3 linked regions of the Arabidopsis thaliana genome follow. The protein of the gene in region 1 interacts with the protein of each later gene in a pairwise test. Each region holds a gene or a part of one and is shown in the gene's direction. Other genes may lie near its edges. The genes, in order: NRT1.1, AT1G25510 and KT2.

Evidence for each region.
Region 2: the proteins of NRT1.1 (region 1) and AT1G25510 interact in a protein complementation assay, tested with the Arabidopsis thaliana proteins (one large-scale study listed by BioGRID).
Region 3: the proteins of NRT1.1 (region 1) and KT2 interact in a protein complementation assay, tested with the Arabidopsis thaliana proteins (one large-scale study listed by BioGRID).

What each region holds. Positions count from the first base shown.
Region 1 is NC_003070.9:4,103,040-4,110,621, forward strand, and holds NRT1.1 (nitrate transporter 1.1), read left to right. Parts: upstream 1-2,183; 5' UTR 2,184-2,301; coding exon 2,302-2,416; intron 2,417-2,601; coding exon 2,602-2,779; intron 2,780-2,873; coding exon 2,874-2,913; intron 2,914-3,087; coding exon 3,088-3,662; intron 3,663-5,386; coding exon 5,387-6,251; 3' UTR 6,252-6,562; downstream 6,563-7,582. UniProt on the Arabidopsis thaliana protein: Dual affinity nitrate transporter. Involved in proton-dependent nitrate uptake and in the regulation of the nitrate transporter NRT2.1.
Region 2 is NC_003070.9:8,957,825-8,962,985, reverse strand, and holds AT1G25510 (Eukaryotic aspartyl protease family protein), read left to right. Parts: upstream 1-1,802; 5' UTR 1,803-2,162; coding exon 2,163-3,614; 3' UTR 3,615-3,899; downstream 3,900-5,161. Other genes in the region: AT1G25520 (Uncharacterized protein family (UPF0016)), read right to left, coding at 1-22, 109-168, 486-554, 645-662.
Region 3 is NC_003071.7:16,928,084-16,935,586, forward strand, and holds KT2 (potassium transporter 2), read left to right. Parts: upstream 1-2,471; 5' UTR 2,472-3,081; exon of another isoform or gene 3,082-3,329; 5' UTR 3,330-3,361; coding exon 3,362-3,406; intron 3,407-3,488; coding exon 3,489-3,723; intron 3,724-3,810; coding exon 3,811-4,056; intron 4,057-4,147; coding exon 4,148-4,201; intron 4,202-4,286; coding exon 4,287-4,547; intron 4,548-4,627; coding exon 4,628-4,680; intron 4,681-4,763; coding exon 4,764-4,881; intron 4,882-4,983; coding exon 4,984-5,238; intron 5,239-5,315; coding exon 5,316-6,433; 3' UTR 6,434-6,586; downstream 6,587-7,503. Other genes in the region: ETG1 (E2F target protein 1 (ETG1)), read left to right, coding at 6,844-7,011, 7,260-7,373, 7,462-7,503. UniProt on the Arabidopsis thaliana protein: Low-affinity potassium transporter. Could mediate the potassium-dependent cell expansion in growing tissues.

The sequences.
Region 1 (7,582 bases):
TGATCTATCCTAACAATATTAAAAATGGTTTACATGCGCTATCATCATTTTTTCTACTAAAGGATTTAACGCTTATTGTAAAGGCCTTTTTTTTTTTTTTACTCTGATGGTTTGTCAGAAGATTATTCGTTAATGAATTATACGTTTGTTATAAACTGTAAATCTTCATTTTGAATGTAAAACTCAAAAATTAAAATTGAAGCAAAAGGTAGTTTCCTTGTTCGTGCTAACTGCTAATGTCGATTAAGATTCATCCTCTTGAAATGACCGAGTCAACGCTGAGGGAGAATCTCACGTGGTCCTACCAACTATCACGTGCCAAAAATCTGGGCCCTGAGATATACCTATAAGCAAAAGCCAGCTCCGCCCAAAACATTTGATCCATCCATTTTCATTTTTATTTTCCAATTTTGAAGTTAGGGTTTATTTTTATAAGTTTCCATTAATTTATTTTCTTATTCCTTTTCGGAGGATGTGTTTATTAATTTAATTTCAATAGAAGATAATATATTTGGGTTCACCACTCGTTCTCTTTTTCTTTTTGGATGGGACTCTTCATTGTGACTTTTTTGTTCTCGCTCTTCCACAATCTTTGGATGTGTACAAAATAATCGATTGTTGGGGATATTATAGTAAATTTAGCAATATGAAACTAGCAACGAAGAAAGTGTTTATTGATGGGTTCAAAATTTCATCGATCTGCATATCAATAACTCGGAAAGAGATGGATCATGACACATAGTATACAATAAATTTTATAAATTTCGAAAATTAACTAATTGAGGATAGAAATTCATCAATTACTTAATAAATAAATAAAAAACTGATTCAAATGTATGTTTTACTTCTGTAACATACAATTTCTTGCTTTTCTTGAAAATTGACTCGTTTTTTATATTGGATATTTTACATAGACTTTGAGACTTATTAATAAAACTAACTAACCATCTCTTACAAATTGTTGGAATAAATTATTTTTATTTTTCTGTTGGCTCTATAAAATGAAAATGACCTTTGTTCTTCTTCTTTATACTCCTATATATGTTTTCTCCAGAGAGAAAGAGAACCATTGAAGTTGCGAGACTTCCAATTATATATATAGTTCATGAAAGTCCTGTGACCATGCTCTTTATTTATTTTATTTCACTATACGTTAAATAAATGGAAAGTAGGGTAATAATCATATTGCAGCATGATTCATTTTAGTGGCGTCTAAGAAGCATTCATTTTGAGCCATTAAATCTCAAGGTAGACTTTCCCATTAACACAAAAGAAGAAAAAATTGGTACGTAATCATACCAACATCTACAAATCTTTGGTTTCAATTTTGTAACAAAGACCTAGATTGTTGACAAACAAAAAGCAAATACCTAAAAGGACTTTTATTGACTTCTATAAAGATGTTTTGATTGAAATTTCATATAATTTAATAGTTTCCTCAAACTATATGCAATAAAATTATAATTTGATAATTACATGTGAAAGAAAACATGACTCTCAAATTAATATGAGTCGATTATCAATAAATTTTTGTGATATGGCTGTGCTGCAGAACAACTGAATGGGCCTAGAAGTAAAGTTGATATTGAGCAAACAAAAAACGAAATAGATTTTTTTTTTCTTTTGGGCAAACTCAAAAAACGAAATAGATATGCCTCGACAATACTACAAAATCTCAAATGAACAATATTGATGAAAATGCGTTTGTAACACAGAAATCAATTATTTTGAATTATTTTCCATATATAGTACAGACGTAAAAAACATACTGTATTATCTTTCATGGAAGTAAAATAATTTTCCAAGAAATAGAACAAATGTAAAACAGGTGGTGGCTAAAACTGGTGCTTTTAATGGCTAATGCCATTGAATCACTGACAAAATGACCGATGACTTCAACTTAAAAGTTCAAGCCCACAGTTCCAAAGGTAGAGGAAGTGGTAAAATTTAGGTATGGTCTCTTTCTCTCTCTCTCAATTTTCTCTTTCTACAAATATATACTACAGTTACAGTAGTAGTTATTATTATTAATTATTCTCTCCCCAATCAAACAACACTCATCAGAGTCACACATGTGTCACTTTTTTCTTCAATATTTTAGTTTTATGAATAAAAAATCAAAATAAAACAATAAAAACTTTTTTAACTTGGCTAGTTTCCCAGTATAAATAGATGTATCAACGAACACATTTAAGACCACAAAAGAAACCAAGAGCTCTCAAACAAAACAGCCTTTTACATAAGAACAAACACCCCCAAAAACTGCAAAAAAAAGAGAGAGATCATTAATCCATCTTCAAGATGTCTCTTCCTGAAACTAAATCTGATGATATCCTTCTTGATGCTTGGGACTTCCAAGGCCGTCCCGCCGATCGCTCAAAAACCGGCGGCTGGGCCAGCGCCGCCATGATTCTTTGTAAGTATAATCACATAATAAAAGTTCTAGAGAAAAGCTACCAACAATATACATGCTGAAGACAAGAATTGAAACTTTTTAATGGCATTTACTAAGTTATAAGTTTCTTATGGCTATCATTCTTATTCTTTTATGTATTCTCGATGTATCCAACTTTATCATTAACAAAATTTTATTGTGTGAAGGTATTGAGGCCGTGGAGAGGCTGACGACGTTAGGTATCGGAGTTAATCTGGTGACGTATTTGACGGGAACTATGCATTTAGGCAATGCAACTGCGGCTAACACCGTTACCAATTTCCTCGGAACTTCTTTCATGCTCTGTCTCCTCGGTGGCTTCATCGCCGATACCTTTCTCGGCAGGTTTGTCTATAAATATATTTATATTTACTTAACTAAAATCATTCAGATTCTTTTTAAAATATTAATTTGAGTTCATTCATTTTGTTTTGTATAGGTACCTAACGATTGCTATATTCGCCGCAATCCAAGCCACGGTAAGGACCTCAAAAGTCCCTTTCTCCTTACCAAAACTTATACCCAAGAAAACGAAGAAAATAAAAATATTGTCTAGTCAATAAACAAATCGAAATAGTAAACAGCATAAGTCGTTATTTTTGTTATAGTTTTCCGAAAAATAATATCCGTGTTATGAACTATGATGCTATCAGGGTGTTTCAATCTTAACTCTATCAACAATCATACCGGGACTTCGACCACCAAGATGCAATCCAACAACGTCGTCTCACTGCGAACAAGCAAGTGGAATACAACTGACGGTCCTATACTTAGCCTTATACCTCACCGCTCTAGGAACGGGAGGCGTGAAGGCTAGTGTCTCGGGTTTCGGGTCGGACCAATTCGATGAGACCGAACCAAAAGAACGATCGAAAATGACATATTTCTTCAACCGTTTCTTCTTTTGTATCAACGTTGGCTCTCTTTTAGCTGTGACGGTCCTTGTCTACGTACAAGACGATGTTGGACGCAAATGGGGCTATGGAATTTGCGCGTTTGCGATCGTGCTTGCACTCAGCGTTTTCTTGGCCGGAACAAACCGCTACCGTTTCAAGAAGTTGATCGGTAGCCCGATGACGCAGGTTGCTGCGGTTATCGTGGCGGCGTGGAGGAATAGGAAGCTCGAGCTGCCGGCAGATCCGTCCTATCTCTACGATGTGGATGATATTATTGCGGCGGAAGGTTCGATGAAGGGTAAACAAAAGCTGCCACACACTGAACAATTCCGGTACGATTCTTTTAATTAACTCATCATTTGCTTTCCACGTACGATCCTCAAAACTTACAATGATTTAAATTTTAAGATAAAAGTTTTAAAATTTTTCTTTTTCTTTTCCATTTAAGGGTTAATTGAAATAATTGAGGTACTGGTTCCCTTAATTAAATGTGATAGTATCAGTAGACTTTAAAAATGTGAAATTAAAAGTGGGGTTGTGTGGGTGAGAAATAACTCGAAATGCTCGTGTCCTTTAATTATAGTGGGACCGTAAATATTTCTCATTATATGCCTACTTGGCATTAGAAATCATTTTTTTTTGACAGCCATTATAAATTAATTAAAAGGTGTTGAATATCTTTCTTTGTCTTTTGTTACGGGGAAAATAAATTATTTTCATAATATTATTACTCGACCATACAGCGAAACTGGTCCAGGATACGAATTATACAGCTAATTACAACATTTTTGGATTTTTGGGTTCAAAGTCCCTACTTTGGCATTTTATATTGTATATTTTTTCCTTAAAATCCTATGTGTGTGTGCATGTGTATATCTTTGTTAGATAACACGTTAAGTTCGGTTCATAGAATAGGTAGGAAAATAAAAGTAGTCTCTCGGAATTAGTCGGAAAGATAAAGTAATTCAGATAAACAAATGAATAAGTATATGCAAGTGATATCAAGTGGGGTAAAATTCTCCATCTTTACTTTTTGCCTATAAAAAATTTCACACCCACTCGTAGAATATTTGGTTTTTACAGAAAGAGTATCTTCATCATTGCGGAAAATTAAATACACCAATTTGCTATTTTATCTTTATTATAGTATTATAATTATGATTATGATTCTAATGCCTTATAACTTTAAATACACATACACTGACACACATATATCTATATTTATATTCCCCTGACTCGTGAGTTTTCCCCCTTTAAGTACGGTATCTTTTATTTTTGCTAACTTAAGTACAGTATCTTTTATCCATCAATCCCTATGCATACCTACATAGAAATAAAAGAATCCAAAGGAATCAATTTTTCTTTATACCAGATAATTTATGGAAAATCTATTTAGCATCTCTAGATATTGGAATCCCTTTCTCGGAAATAAAACTAATAAAGAAGAAGAGACGAGAAGTTAGGGTAGGGAGGCAGGTGTTTTGTCTGTAGTGAAAACGATCAAATATCGTGTCGTAGCACCTCCACTACTTTACACCTTCACCGGGACAGACCCAAAGTTAGGCATAATTAAGAACCCTAGCGTCACATGCACGACACGTGCTTTGCGTGCTCGGTGCTTCATTAAATTTCTCTTTCGTTTGGGTCTCTCTAAAAGGTAGTTGAAAACTAAAGAAAAAACCTTTTACACTTTTCCATAAATTCAAACTCTTAACTTTTTTTTGCCTACACTATTTTAAAAGCAATTACGTATTTGTCATGCATGTGTGTGAAGGATATATCATCTTGAAAAGATTCCACGTAACTATCTCCACAACATGTTGATTCAAATATTCAATGCGTAAGCTATATTCCAAAAAAAGAAACAATGTATTATTGATATGAAATTTCAATAAATAGGGACACTTCATAATTTTCTAAGAAACACACAAAAGATCTTTGGTTTGAAAAATCAGATACTTATCTTTAATCCAATATATGTAAAATATTTTATCTCCATTTTACATAATTTACTATTATATTCTAATTATTCCTTATATCATTTTTGATGCCACAGTTCATTAGATAAGGCAGCAATAAGGGATCAGGAAGCGGGAGTTACCTCGAATGTATTCAACAAGTGGACACTCTCAACACTAACAGATGTTGAGGAAGTGAAACAAATCGTGCGAATGTTACCAATTTGGGCAACATGCATCCTCTTCTGGACCGTCCACGCTCAATTAACGACATTATCAGTCGCACAATCCGAGACATTGGACCGTTCCATCGGGAGCTTCGAGATCCCTCCAGCATCGATGGCAGTCTTCTACGTCGGTGGCCTCCTCCTAACCACCGCCGTCTATGACCGCGTCGCCATTCGTCTATGCAAAAAGCTATTCAACTACCCCCATGGTCTAAGACCGCTTCAACGGATCGGTTTGGGGCTTTTCTTCGGATCAATGGCTATGGCTGTGGCTGCTTTGGTCGAGCTCAAACGTCTTAGAACTGCACACGCTCATGGTCCAACAGTCAAAACGCTTCCTCTAGGGTTTTATCTACTCATCCCACAATATCTTATTGTCGGTATCGGCGAAGCGTTAATCTACACAGGACAGTTAGATTTCTTCTTGAGAGAGTGCCCTAAAGGTATGAAAGGGATGAGCACGGGTCTATTGTTGAGCACATTGGCATTAGGCTTTTTCTTCAGCTCGGTTCTCGTGACAATCGTCGAGAAATTCACCGGGAAAGCTCATCCATGGATTGCCGATGATCTCAACAAGGGCCGTCTTTACAATTTCTACTGGCTTGTGGCCGTACTTGTTGCCTTGAACTTCCTCATTTTCCTAGTTTTCTCCAAGTGGTACGTTTACAAGGAAAAAAGACTAGCTGAGGTGGGGATTGAGTTGGATGATGAGCCGAGTATTCCAATGGGTCATTGATCATGAATTCATGATCATGATCATGATGATGAACATTATGCATGTCTATGTTGATATGTTTGAATTTGATTTTGAGTTTTGTTTGTATATTTTATGATGCTTTTCTTAATTACCTCTTGTTTCCGAGTCGACAAATAATGGACCGACCGATAAGGGATAAAAGTTAAAGTTTTCCCATCAGGTTCTGTATAAAAGCAGAAATTGTAACATTTCTTAAGATTTGACGCAATTAACGTCTTTTTGTCTTCAATTTCCATTTTTCATTTTTTCCCAGTAAATTATCATACCATTCAACGTTTGTTTTCTCACTTGTTTTGGTATCGTTTGTTTTCGAATATGTGAATAATTTGGACCAGAACTAGGCGTCTAGGCCACTAGCTAGTGCCTAGTGGACTATCACACCTTTCTTTTGTAATATTGGTAAACAAAAAAAGTTGTCTTTAAAACTATAATTGAATTATGACCGAGCTCTGTGAATTTACTGGCTCAATTGTCTCTCGATGACTACTGGTCAAGTGATTAATTTGAATTATCAAGGAGCTGCATGATTAAGTCCAAAACATATATAATCATGATGAATACAAATTAAATATGACAAATGATGAATATTACTTTTATTTGTTTACACTTGTTACTTTTATTTTTTGGATATATACTTTTATATCTTTCAACTATGTAGCTAATTGGATAAAGAATCATCAGTCTAAAGTCTAAACTGATCAACAATCCAGTTTTTTTTTTCAATTATTTTTCAATCAGATAAATACCAATTATTAGCTATAATTTCGATGAATTACTATCGAATTGTTTATAGGGAATTTAATGAAAAAAACCCTCAATTTTGGCCAGATCCATTTTTAAACCCTGAACTATGTTTTTAGTAAAACAAACCCTGAACTAAAACCTGTTAATAAACTTAACCCTACAGTAATTAAATATTAATGGGATATTAATTTCCAAAAATCGACCAAAGAACAATGACAGAATCCGTGATCCAACTGAAGATCGTCCACCTCAAAAAGTTCCTTATACACGTGAAAAAGTTCAAATGGTAAAATAGAAAACAATGAATTATGTTTCACAAGATCTTCTTTTTCAAATTATTTAATTTAATCTTTGCATATTTAGACTTGCAGCAACTGTCAACAAGTCGGACACAACAAACGTTCATGCAAGCGTAAAGCAGTGCCAAAACCACCCAAGAAACCTCAAGGACGACCAAGGAAAAAACAGAAAACAATGGATGAAGAGAACCCTATCACTCAGCCAATACAATCTTCTCTTCAAAGTTAATGCTTGACAAGTCTTTACTTTAGAATATCTTGTCCCTC
Region 2 (5,161 bases), 4.9 Mb from region 1:
TAGCAGAGAGGATAGTCATAACCTAAGAATTAAACAAAGACATAAGCTTCAAAATCTATGGAGAGAGGTCACTGAAACCAATAGGTCAAAGCATTCAGAAAAACTTACAATCAGAGCCGATAAACAACCAGCCAACACAAGTCTCCTAGGATAACGCATAGCCAAAATCTGATATGACAAAAAAAAAAAAGAGTTTAAGCTTGCAAAATCAAGATAACAACAGAAGTATCTTACACACCTTCAAAGAGCCTGTGGCAGATTCTAAACTACCAAAACACTATGAAACTGAATGGCAATATAAAAGCTACAGACAAAGGATCCAAAGATGCCATCTAGATTCTTAATCAGGAAAAGGCAATCCAATAAGTAAGACTTTAGACTTCGATTCATGTAAAAGCCATTGACTTCATCGACCTTAAACCCTCAATAGATTACATGAAGCAACAAAATCTAAAACTAAAGCGAAGAGGAGACGAAACACTTACTGCTGCAGCGAAAAACGTCTTGTCACCAATCTCCGATACAAAGGTCATAGCAAGTGACTTCGTAAAACCCTATAAAACCCCAACAATCATAAACCCAGATTAGCTCCACAACGATTCTTACGAGTTTACTCCCCAGAAAACATTAATCTTTTACTCTACCTGCAAAACCGAGCTCATGGCTGCCGAATTATAAAATCGACGGCGAATTAGCTACGAAGGAGAAGAAAAAAACGAAACTTTCGATTTTTCTCCGGCTGTGTTACAAAGAAGACGGAGTGATCAATCGCCGGAGTTAATTAACAGTCGTCGAGAGAGAGCAAATAGACGAGACGAACATTCGCTGAAGAGCTAAAAGATGAATCCTTTTTTTTTGGGGATTGTAGGTGAATTTGATTCTGATTCTTTAACCCTTAAGATCTTACCACGTGGATTGATAACAACCAACGATTTTAATGTGTGGGACCCAGAAAACCCAACTTGAGTTTAGAAGATGTTAATTTGTTCCCTTGTGTTGTTGTTTGCGACTTGCGTCACTTGCTCGAGCAAAACAATAAAGACTTTTACTTCTTTGATAACTAACTTGTCGCGATCACGATTGAGACGTAACGTTTAGAATAGTATAACACGTAAGTTTTTGAGAGATGCTCAAAACTGATTGGGTATTTTAGTATTTTTCGCTTATCTCAACTAAATTTTATTTCGTTTTATCCTACTATTTTATACAAATAAAAAAAAATTGACCGATTTCTGATTGGTGGCGAATTGATTCGCAAACGTATGTAATTATATTTGATTTGATCCAACTGTACTTATATTAATATTAATTTATTTAATTCTAAAATTGATGAATAACTAAAATCAGGTGGCAATATTCTATCTATCTCAACTGCATATCATGTTAAGCTGAGATTAGAAGTGTATTTTAGAATTTATAGTTTAGATTTAGGCAGCAAGGTTAATGAGTTAATGTAGTAGACTTGGGGTATGAAATGGCCCAAACATCCAAGTTAAAAGCCTAGATAAGAGTTACCCACAGGCCCATGAGGGACCATAAATTCACCATTTTTAAGTCAGCAAATTCCTCCACATTGTTAATACCTTAACATGATATGCATATGTATGTTTTTTTGTTGTTGTCAGATTGCGTATGTATGTATTGGTTTACAGTTATAGCTTTCTTTTTAGGTTAATTGTTTAGTATCATATAGCTTTATAGACATAGGTCTGGATAAAATGAAATAAGTGAGCTGTTATAATTTGAATGAAAGTCATCATTAACAAAGCTAAGCTCATAGCCAAATAAAATTTGTCAAAGTGCGAAGATGTGAAACACTCAAAAGTGGCTGACTTAATAAAATCTAAAACAACAATCTCCACACTAACCGCATTGAGATCATAAAACAAGTTTATTTAAATCCTCACACTTAAAGAGGATGAAGAAACCTCCTCTTCCTCTTTAACCATTTATCTAATCTTTGGATTAATTCTTCAAGAAGAGATACTTACTTATATAAATCTCCTCGAAATCTGCAAACCCCCAAAACACAGCTTGTCTTTGTTTTAATTAAAAGAAGCTTTTGTCTCATTTTCCCTTCCCCACCAAACACACTTTTGTCTTCTCTTTAATAAACCTCATTCACTTCATCTTCTTCACTGTTAACGGTCGGAATCTAAAAAATGTCTCCTAACTACTCCTTCTTCTTCTTCATCTTCTTCCTCACTTCACACTCTTCTGTTTTCTCCAGAATCTTACCAGAGACCTCCACAACCACTACCTCAATTCTCAATGTCGCTGACTCCATCCACAGAACCAAGTATACGTCGTCGTTTCGGTTAAACCAGCAAGAAGAACAGACTCACTCTGCTTCTTCTTCTTTCAGCTTGCAGCTTCATTCACGAGTTTCCGTCCGAGGAACTGAACACTCAGACTATAAGTCACTCACACTAGCCAGACTCAACCGTGACACAGCCCGAGTCAAATCTCTCATAACCCGTTTAGATCTAGCCATCAACAACATATCCAAAGCAGATCTCAAACCCATCAGCACAATGTACACCACTGAGGAACAAGATATCGAAGCTCCTTTAATCTCCGGCACGACTCAAGGAAGTGGCGAGTACTTCACACGCGTCGGTATCGGAAAACCGGCGCGTGAAGTTTATATGGTTCTAGATACTGGAAGTGACGTGAACTGGCTACAATGTACTCCTTGCGCTGACTGTTACCACCAAACCGAACCAATCTTCGAGCCATCGTCGTCTTCTTCTTACGAGCCTCTCTCTTGTGACACTCCACAGTGCAATGCCCTTGAAGTCTCAGAATGTAGAAACGCCACGTGTCTTTACGAGGTTTCTTACGGTGATGGTTCTTACACCGTTGGAGATTTCGCCACCGAGACTCTCACAATCGGCTCAACTCTAGTTCAAAACGTCGCCGTTGGTTGTGGACACAGCAACGAAGGGTTGTTCGTCGGCGCCGCCGGTTTACTTGGACTCGGCGGTGGTTTGTTAGCTCTTCCGTCGCAGCTCAACACGACGTCGTTCTCGTACTGTCTCGTTGACCGTGACTCAGACTCGGCTTCGACCGTGGATTTCGGGACTTCTCTTTCTCCTGACGCCGTCGTGGCTCCGTTGCTACGTAACCACCAGCTCGACACGTTTTACTACCTAGGCCTCACCGGAATAAGCGTCGGCGGCGAGTTGCTTCAGATTCCTCAGTCTTCTTTCGAGATGGACGAGTCAGGCAGCGGTGGGATCATCATCGACTCAGGAACCGCCGTGACTCGTCTCCAGACCGAAATCTATAACTCGCTTAGAGACTCGTTCGTGAAAGGAACGTTGGACTTGGAAAAAGCAGCCGGGGTGGCGATGTTTGACACGTGTTATAACCTTTCGGCTAAGACGACGGTAGAAGTCCCGACCGTGGCTTTTCATTTCCCCGGCGGGAAGATGTTGGCTTTGCCGGCGAAGAACTACATGATTCCGGTTGACTCGGTGGGGACATTTTGTTTGGCATTTGCACCGACGGCGAGTTCACTAGCGATTATCGGAAACGTGCAGCAACAAGGGACACGTGTCACTTTCGATTTGGCAAATTCTCTCATTGGATTCTCGTCTAATAAATGCTAAGCTGTTTTCATCAAAAAAAACAAAAATGCTAAGCTGTTTTTTCTATAAATATATTTGAGTTACAATGAAAAGGAAAAGTCACTTAAAAGATAGTAATGTTAAGTTAGAGTACTGTACTACTGTTTGGTTGTGTTTGTTTCTTGTACTTGTTGTTGCAATGCATAGAGTGAAAAAGAGTAAAAAAAAGATGGAATTTGTTTTTGCTAATTTTATGATTAAAGAGTAGAACAATGAATCTTGAGGGGCCTTGTTACAGGTCACATCACACACGAATGAATGACTCCTTCTTTTCTATGACGCATGAATACTCGTAGTGTTGAGAGTTAAAGCCCAAATACAATGTGTGATCGAAGAAGTTAAGCCCAAATACAATATGTGATGTGATACAAAATAACAAAATCTTTGTAAACCAAGAAACGAATGATTGAAAATACAATCTCTTATATGAGTTATGATCATGAAAGTGTAATCCCTAGTACTAACTGATATGAAACAAAGAAAAAAGTGATATGTTTATGGAAGATGAATTTACACAAAACTAAATTAACTCTGGTGATATTCTATTGGATATGTTTAATGAACTCTAATCATTCTATGTAAACAGTATTTTTTAAAAGAGTAACATGGCACAGAGATTTATATTATCAAAAGAGAAAGAAAAAAACATGGCACAAAGAGAGGTGGCGAAGTCATGGTGCCACTACTTGCCATCACAACATATGAAGTGGCAGCTATGGGTTCAATCATTTTGTCCTTAAAAAAAAGCTTTATTTTCCTTTCTCCTTTTTATATGTCAACCTTTTACTTTCTCCTTTGTTCATCCAAAAACATTCTCTTACTTTTACAGTTTCATGCTAGACATAAAACTTATGCCATAAGAGCAAAAAACCTGGATAAAATTCAATGTTTTTGTTAATATTTTCACAATTAAAATAGTGGTATATTTGTTGACAGAAAAAACAAAGAGTCGTAGATTCAATAGATGATTTTGACCGGTTCTTTTAAATATCTGAATAATGAGGTATACAATTCATACGTACATTAAACAACGTCCAAGCAAAAAAAAGAAGAAGAATACATAATTATATAATACAATTTATATCAAACATTTACCACACTTCCCTTGTAGGTGAATTTATAAAAACTTTGACATAAAGTTTGAGAAAACTATATGCAATTTTTCTGTTATATGCATTAAAGGTCCATTTCCAAATAACAAACAGAAATAAAGCAACGAACCAAAAAAGAAAAGAAATAATTTTGTGATAGGAAAATTAAAAAGAAAAAAACGTGAATAGTTACGGAGGGAGAAAGTGTGATCTGAAAACGACCACTGCTTATCCAATAAAAAGGAAGAAGACGAAGAAGAAGAAGAACCGCTCTGACAAAACTTCTTTGCCTCACTCTCTTCTCTCATCGTTTTTCATATTTCTTCTTTGATTCACGTTTCTTTTCTTTTCCTCTCATTGACTATTCTCCCTCACTTCTCTCTCTCTCAACTCTTGTGATATTTATTCAAAGATGCTTCCATGAAATTTGGTTTTGGT
Region 3 (7,503 bases), on another chromosome or scaffold:
TTGTCTTTTTAGTTCATAAAATATAATTGTGCCCTTCCTCTTGAATTGTCTCATTTCCTCGTGTTGATGGGAGTTCATGTATTCATGTATGTAATACAACTCATAATAAAAAAACTGTATTTGTCAGTTGTAAAACTCTTTTTTTTTGTTATTAAAATGGAATATTTTTCTATAACACTAAAAGAGAGTAATTTACCCACAATAATATAAAACAGGCAGGGATTAATCCAAGAATTTTCTTTTGATAAATATGTGGATATATAACTCTCTCTCTCTTTTCAGGTGTGTGTTTTAACTTATATCCAAGAATCTTGTGGTATATTTATCTAGTTTTATGTTATCAAAAACATAAATGAAATAAAAATATGGGAAAGAAAACACAAAAACATTCTGTCAGTTGGTGACAAAAGGAACATTCTGTCGGTTATACAGTCTTTAACCATTCACCAAAGCAAGTTGTTTATAAATTAACATCGAAAACTATGCATATTTTGGCTTACTGGCCCGTTAACAAAGCATAAAAAAAGTATTTATCGTTCTCTGTTTTTTACTGCCTAAAATCTTTCCAGATTTGGAATTACATTGGCTTATAAATGTACGTTAATGAGTAAACACTAAATCACAGCATCCCATATCGCCAACTAAGAAACTCAATTATCTCCCAAGTAAATTTTACTTACCATCACCAATCTATCATCACTTGTTACCCATTTTACCAAGAAAAAACGAAAAGTTTCTTTCCCATAATATATATGCCGCCGATTGCCAAGAAAAACAAGATTTTCATTCCTAGATTGTGTTTGCGGGTAAACAATAAAAAGAAGAAGAAAATGGTCAATTGGTTAAGAAACTCTAATAAGTAAAAACAAAATGGTTTCGTGTAAGATCAATTCGAATTCATTTTTATTTTGGCAAAATTGCAAAAATTAATAAGAGTTGATAGTAGACGACAAACATTTTCTTGTACACTAATTACTGTAACAGTCACATTATTATAATGAAAGAGGGATTCAGCAATCCTAAAATATGATTTGTAATTTCATAATCATTAATTAAATCGCCCAATTTTGAACTTTTTAATCTTAAAACTTCGGAAAATGATTGGTCTATATTTGTGCCCAATATATATATATATATATATATATAAGTATAAATAATAAGTTCTATTCTTAAGAATCATTAGTATATCCTAAAACCTGCTTTTGGCAATCAAGAAAATAACTTGCAAAAAACCCATGGCGAACCTAATCTTCACTAAAACAGACTCCAGAAAAAGAGTGTTCCAAGCAAAATCTTGATGATATAAGAGACTCCAGAAAACAATCGTCTCTCTAGTGAGCTTCACATATCAACAGTGTATAAGTTTTTGACTAGCAAAAAACAAATATCGTTCACATTTGACTGATACATCATACACCAAACTGAAAAGACAGCATTCCCCAAATCACGTATAGAATCTTAAATCATATAAAATACATTTTGTTCTTTGCTTTGAAATATCAAATGTTAGTGTGATTTGTCGTCATGCAACGCATGCATATAATATTAATTTATTATTTGATTTGGTAATAAGTCTCTTTATACATGCATTGAATCCACCGACCAAGTCTACTATATGCTTTGAAAGTTTGAATTATATAATAATAGAAAAGATTGTTGTGAAGAGCAAGCTGAATCGATTTGGAGAATTGGATTCCGATCTGGTTTTATAATTGTTCGACTACAATAATGTCAAATGGGATAGCAAGAAAATAATGTATAAAGGTTGAAATTGCGCAACACCTAACAAAAGGGAGAGAAAGAAAACACCCCAAAAACAAAAAGGTAGAGGAAGAAACACATAAAAGAGGAGTGAAAGAGAAAGAAGCATAAAAAGAAAGGAATAGAAATAGAGCACCAATCAATGACTTCAAATTCAATTATTTCGAAACAAATTTTTAAATTTATAGATTACTAAAAATCAACAAACTTTTATAGAATAAATTTGTAAATCTATGATTCATTAGCTAAACAACTAATTTTTACACACTAAAACAATTCAGAGATGTGTACAAATAAAGACATGTGTTAAATAATAATAATTATTTGTAAAAAAATGAGATATAAAAAAGTAGATGCAACCAAATTTTTTAAAAAAAACCTTTAAAATGCCATAAAACCATTCTAAAAGTTTATAACTGTATATATAGATTTGTTATTAATTATTTTATATGTTGCTATTCATTTATTAAATATCATCTAGTTGTTCACCATAATCCATAATAGGGACAAAATCTTAAATACATTTCATATCAATTTTTTTCTTTCTTACAATCTGCCAAGTTAAAGAAATTCACAAATTATAAAAGAGAAATAATAAGGTAGTATTAAAAATTTAATACTAGTGACTATCAATAGATAGTAACAAATACTAATATAAGTATATATTAATTACGCGTTATATATACCTTTTAACAAAATATATTATTGTTGTTGACTGATACAGAGAGAAATAAAAAAAAAAACAGTTTCGATTTTTGTTATTGCAACAAAAAGTTTCGGAAAATAGAGAGAAAAGAGAGTGAGTGAGGTTGGTGATGACCAGATTTTGAGGCTTATCAATAGTACAAAGCTTGCAAAATCAATGGCGCAAATTCTGTTGGTAAGTATAAGAAAAAAAAGAAAAGCTTTTTCCTTTAGATGTCATGTAACTGTCGGGAGAGCACTCACGTGTTTCTGTCTCTTCACCTGTAAATATTCTCGCCACGTTTGCTCTCTTTCTTTTTTTCCCCGAGAAAACGCAAAGACAAAGACGTTTTTTTAATTTGGCTATAGCATGTGGAGGCTATGGGTTCTTATCTTGTATCGTCGTTCTTTGTCTTCAATATCTTTAATTCAATGATAAGCAGATCATCTCTTTCTTCACTCCTACACATCGATTCACGTCATCCACCCAGAAAAATTCATACTTCAATTAAAAATTCTGTAAGTGGAAAAAACACAGTTGGCAAAATGGGCAAAAGCTAATAATTGATTTATCTCCATTTATGGCTAAAAGCCTAACACTAGGCTCTACACTTTTCAAGTCTTTTCATTTTCTGGGTAATTGTTGTTCAATTTTAGAGATTTAGGGTTTTTGATTGTTCTTCTTTTTCTGGGTTTTATCTAAATTCGTGGATATGAGAATGGCATGTGCGTGAATGTGGCCTACTTTGTTTTCTTCCTTCTAATTTGGGAACAGAGTTTGGTTGTCCTATTTATTGTTACTTTGTAGGTTTCACTCTTTTCGACATTACTTTTCAATTGCTTCAGATTCATAAATCTATCTTCTTCTTTCTTTGGTTGTTCAGCTTTAGCGTGTTAGGCTGAACATTTAAGAACCATGGATCTCAATCTCGGAAAATGCTGTGGTTCTCGTTCTTCTAAGGTTTGTTGTCCATTTTCTTTTAGATTTGCTCAATTTTGGAATTTTGAGCTGAATAAAGATTGGAACTTTGACAATTATGCAGAAGGAATCATGGAGGTCGGTTTTGCTTCTTGCTTACCAGAGTCTTGGTGTTGTCTATGGAGACTTGAGTATCTCTCCGCTTTATGTCTTTAAGAGCACTTTTGCTGAGGACATTCAACATTCAGAGACCAATGAAGAGATCTACGGTGTTATGTCTTTTGTTTTCTGGACTTTAACTTTGGTTCCTTTGCTTAAGTATGTCTTCATTGTCCTCCGAGCTGATGATAACGGAGAAGGTGAGGGGAAGAGACACTTTCAGAGCAGAAAATCATCGAGAAACTTTATTTGCTTTGCTTATGAAGGTTTGTTACATTTGTTTTCAGGTGGAACTTTTGCTTTGTACTCATTGATCTGCCGTCATGTCAAAGTTAGCCTCCTCCCAAACCGACAAGTCTCTGATGAGGCACTGTCCACTTATAAGCTGGAGCATCCACCGGAGAAGAACCATGACTCGTGTGTGAAAAGATATCTGGAGAAACACAAGTGGTTACACACTGCTTTGCTGCTTCTTGTTCTTCTTGGGACTTGTATGGTTATTGGAGATGGACTTCTCACTCCAGCTATCTCCGGTATGTATGCTTCTGTGTTTGTAGACAGATATTCCAGTGTCCAATTGCTAGTTAAAAGAGTTTTCTAATCTTTTCTTTTTCTTGTATGTAGTTTTCTCTGCTGTGTCAGGTCTTGAGCTGAATATGTCTAAAGAACATCACCAATGTAAGTACACAAAGACTGGGTAGTGTTAGTTTTTGCTACTTGAGTTCTGATGAATGATGGCTTCCTTTGTTGTTCAAACGTGCAGATGCAGTAATTCCTATTACCTGCTTCATACTAGTCTGCCTTTTCTCGCTTCAGCATTTTGGGACACATCGTGTTGGGTTTGTTTTCGCGCCTATTGTCCTCACTTGGCTGCTCTGTATAAGTGGTATTGGCTTGTACAATATAATACAGTGGAATCCTCATATATACAAAGCTCTTTCTCCTACATACATGTTCATGTTCTTGAGAAAGACGAGAGTAAGCGGATGGATGTCTCTAGGCGGGATCTTGTTGTGCATAACTGGTGAGATATATAAGAAATCGATATTGTTAATGTCGCCATAAATAATGTCAGTAATCTAACTCGTTGAGTCTTTGTTTTAGGTGCTGAGGCCATGTTTGCTGATCTTGGTCACTTCAATTACGCAGCAATTCAGGTTAGTTTCTACTTTAGCTTGGATGATTTACTTATTGTTATATCGCCACAGGTTTCAATAAATCTTTGTTTTGTTTGCTGTAGATTGCGTTTACCTTCCTGGTTTATCCGGCTCTTATATTGGCATACATGGGGCAAGCTGCTTACTTATCCCGGCATCACCATTCTGCTCATGCAATTGGGTTTTACGTCTCTGTACCAAGTCAGTAATTTGCCTTACTTCAAGAACTCAATTTTTTTTTGGTGTTGATCATTGAAAACGTAATCTGATCTTTTGTTTATATAACTCCATGGTTTTGAACAGAATGTTTGCACTGGCCTGTGCTTGCTGTAGCAATTCTTGCTTCTGTTGTGGGAAGCCAAGCGATCATCAGTGGGACTTTCTCAATCATAAACCAGAGCCAGTCTCTCGGATGCTTCCCTCGAGTCAAAGTCATTCACACGTCCGATAAGATGCATGGTCAGATTTACATACCGGAGATTAACTGGATGCTCATGATTCTCTGCATCGCTGTTACTATCGGGTTTAGAGATGTCAAACACCTGGGAAATGCATCAGGTATGAGATTCTTTTATCAACTCAAGAATTTTGGATTCTTCGACTTTGAGATTATATTCCTTTGTGGTTGGTTGCAGGTTTGGCTGTAATGGCGGTTATGCTAGTGACAACATGTCTTACCTCATTAGTCATTGTTCTTTGCTGGCACAAGCCTCCAATTCTAGCGCTAGCGTTCCTTCTCTTTTTCGGTTCAATAGAACTTCTCTACTTCTCGGCCTCACTCACCAAATTTCGTGAAGGCGCTTGGCTTCCGATCCTCTTATCTCTAATATTCATGATCATCATGTTCGTTTGGCACTACACCACCATTAAGAAATACGAGTTTGATCTCCAGAATAAAGTCTCGCTTGAATGGCTTCTTGCATTGGGTCCAAGCCTCGGAATTTCTCGAGTTCCAGGTATCGGTTTAGTCTTCACGGATTTAACCTCTGGAATCCCCGCCAATTTCTCCCGGTTCGTCACCAACCTCCCTGCCTTCCACCGTGTTCTTGTCTTTGTCTGCGTGAAATCTGTCCCTGTCCCGTTCGTTCCACCTGCTGAGAGATACCTCGTGGGTCGTGTTGGTCCCGTTGACCACCGCTCTTACAGATGCATCGTTCGGTATGGATACCGTGACGTCCATCAAGACGTGGACTCATTCGAAACAGAGCTCGTAAGCAAGCTGGCGGATTTCATCCGTTACGATTGGCACAAAAGAACACAACAAGAAGACGACAACGCTCGTTCTGTCCAGTCCAACGAATCCTCAAGCGAGTCAAGACTAGCCGTGATCGGAACAGTAGCTTACGAGATCGAAGACAATCTCCAACCAGAGAGTGTCTCCATCGGATTCTCCACAGTCGAAAGCATGGAAGACGTCATACAAATGGCCGAACCAGCCCCAACCGCCACCATAAGACGGGTGAGGTTTGCGGTTGAGGAAAACAGTTACGAGGACGAAGGATCAACATCGTCAGCAGAAGCAGATGCGGAACTGAGAAGCGAGCTGAGGGATTTGCTGGCAGCGCAAGAAGCAGGAACTGCGTTTATATTGGGACATTCACATGTGAAAGCGAAACAAGGATCATCGGTGATGAAGAGATTAGCAGTTAATTTCGGTTATAATTTCTTGAGAAGGAACTGTAGAGGACCTGACGTGGCTCTTAAGGTTCCACCTGTTTCTCTTTTAGAAGTCGGCATGGTTTATGTTGTTTGACTTATGAAAAAACTAAATATATGAAAACCTAATTCCTCTGTTGTAAATTCGTCATGTTTAGCTTCATAGATCTCTGTTTCTGTGTTTGTGAGTCTGGGGTTTGACTTTTAACAAATCTTAAGACCAAGATGGTCAGAGGATCATATATGCCAAATGAATTAGTTTATTATACACATGAAACGACATCGTATGGAGAGGGGTCCAAAACGGTGCGTTGGAAGTTGGAGAATGGGCATGGATAATGGCGGGAATAACCTAGGAGATATGGCGGGAAAGGCCCAACTATACACACTTGACATTGCCCTTAATTCGTGTTTGAGCAAAGACTCAATCTTTCATCTCTAGATTCTTGGCGATTCTCGCTACATAGTACTTTGGTAAAGAGTGAAATCAAAGGTTGGTTTTGAGATATGGGAGGACCAGCTTACGATTGTCTGACCAACCCTTTAGGAGCCGTCCGATTCTCCTTCGTAAATGCTCTGTCTTCAGGCTACGATCCGGCTTCGTCTGTCGGAAAAGACTGGGGTGTCGTTGATTTGTTCCGTCACTACTTCTCCGACGAATCTGCTATCTCCCAGGTTTGCCCTAAAACCTTTACTCTGTTTCTATTTTTTTTTGGGTTTAGGGCAATTGAGTATGTTTTGATTAATTACTACCCAATTAGCATAATAGGTTGATTTTTTCGTGTACTTTGGCTCTGTTTCTAAGTAAATCAGCTTACTTTAGGTTTTAGTCTATCCATAGATTGGTTAATTTGGGTTTTTTCAAGGATCTGTTTTGAGATATTTTTCTTAATTAACCGATAGTGTTTTCTTTTGTCTACTAGGTTCCAATTCTTGATTCGTCAAGTATTAAGTGGGTGCAACCCAAGACTCTTGTTCGGTTTCGTGGAATGATACAGGACATGCTTGGGAATGAATTCTATGCTGGTGCTTACAAGGTAGGAATATGACTTTTGATGGTTTCTACTAAAGAAGAATTCAATCTTTATCTATCAGTAACTGTTTCTGTTTTTACGTTCTGTTTAGGATGATTCAACATGGAGAACAAACAAGTACAGTGATGTTTCA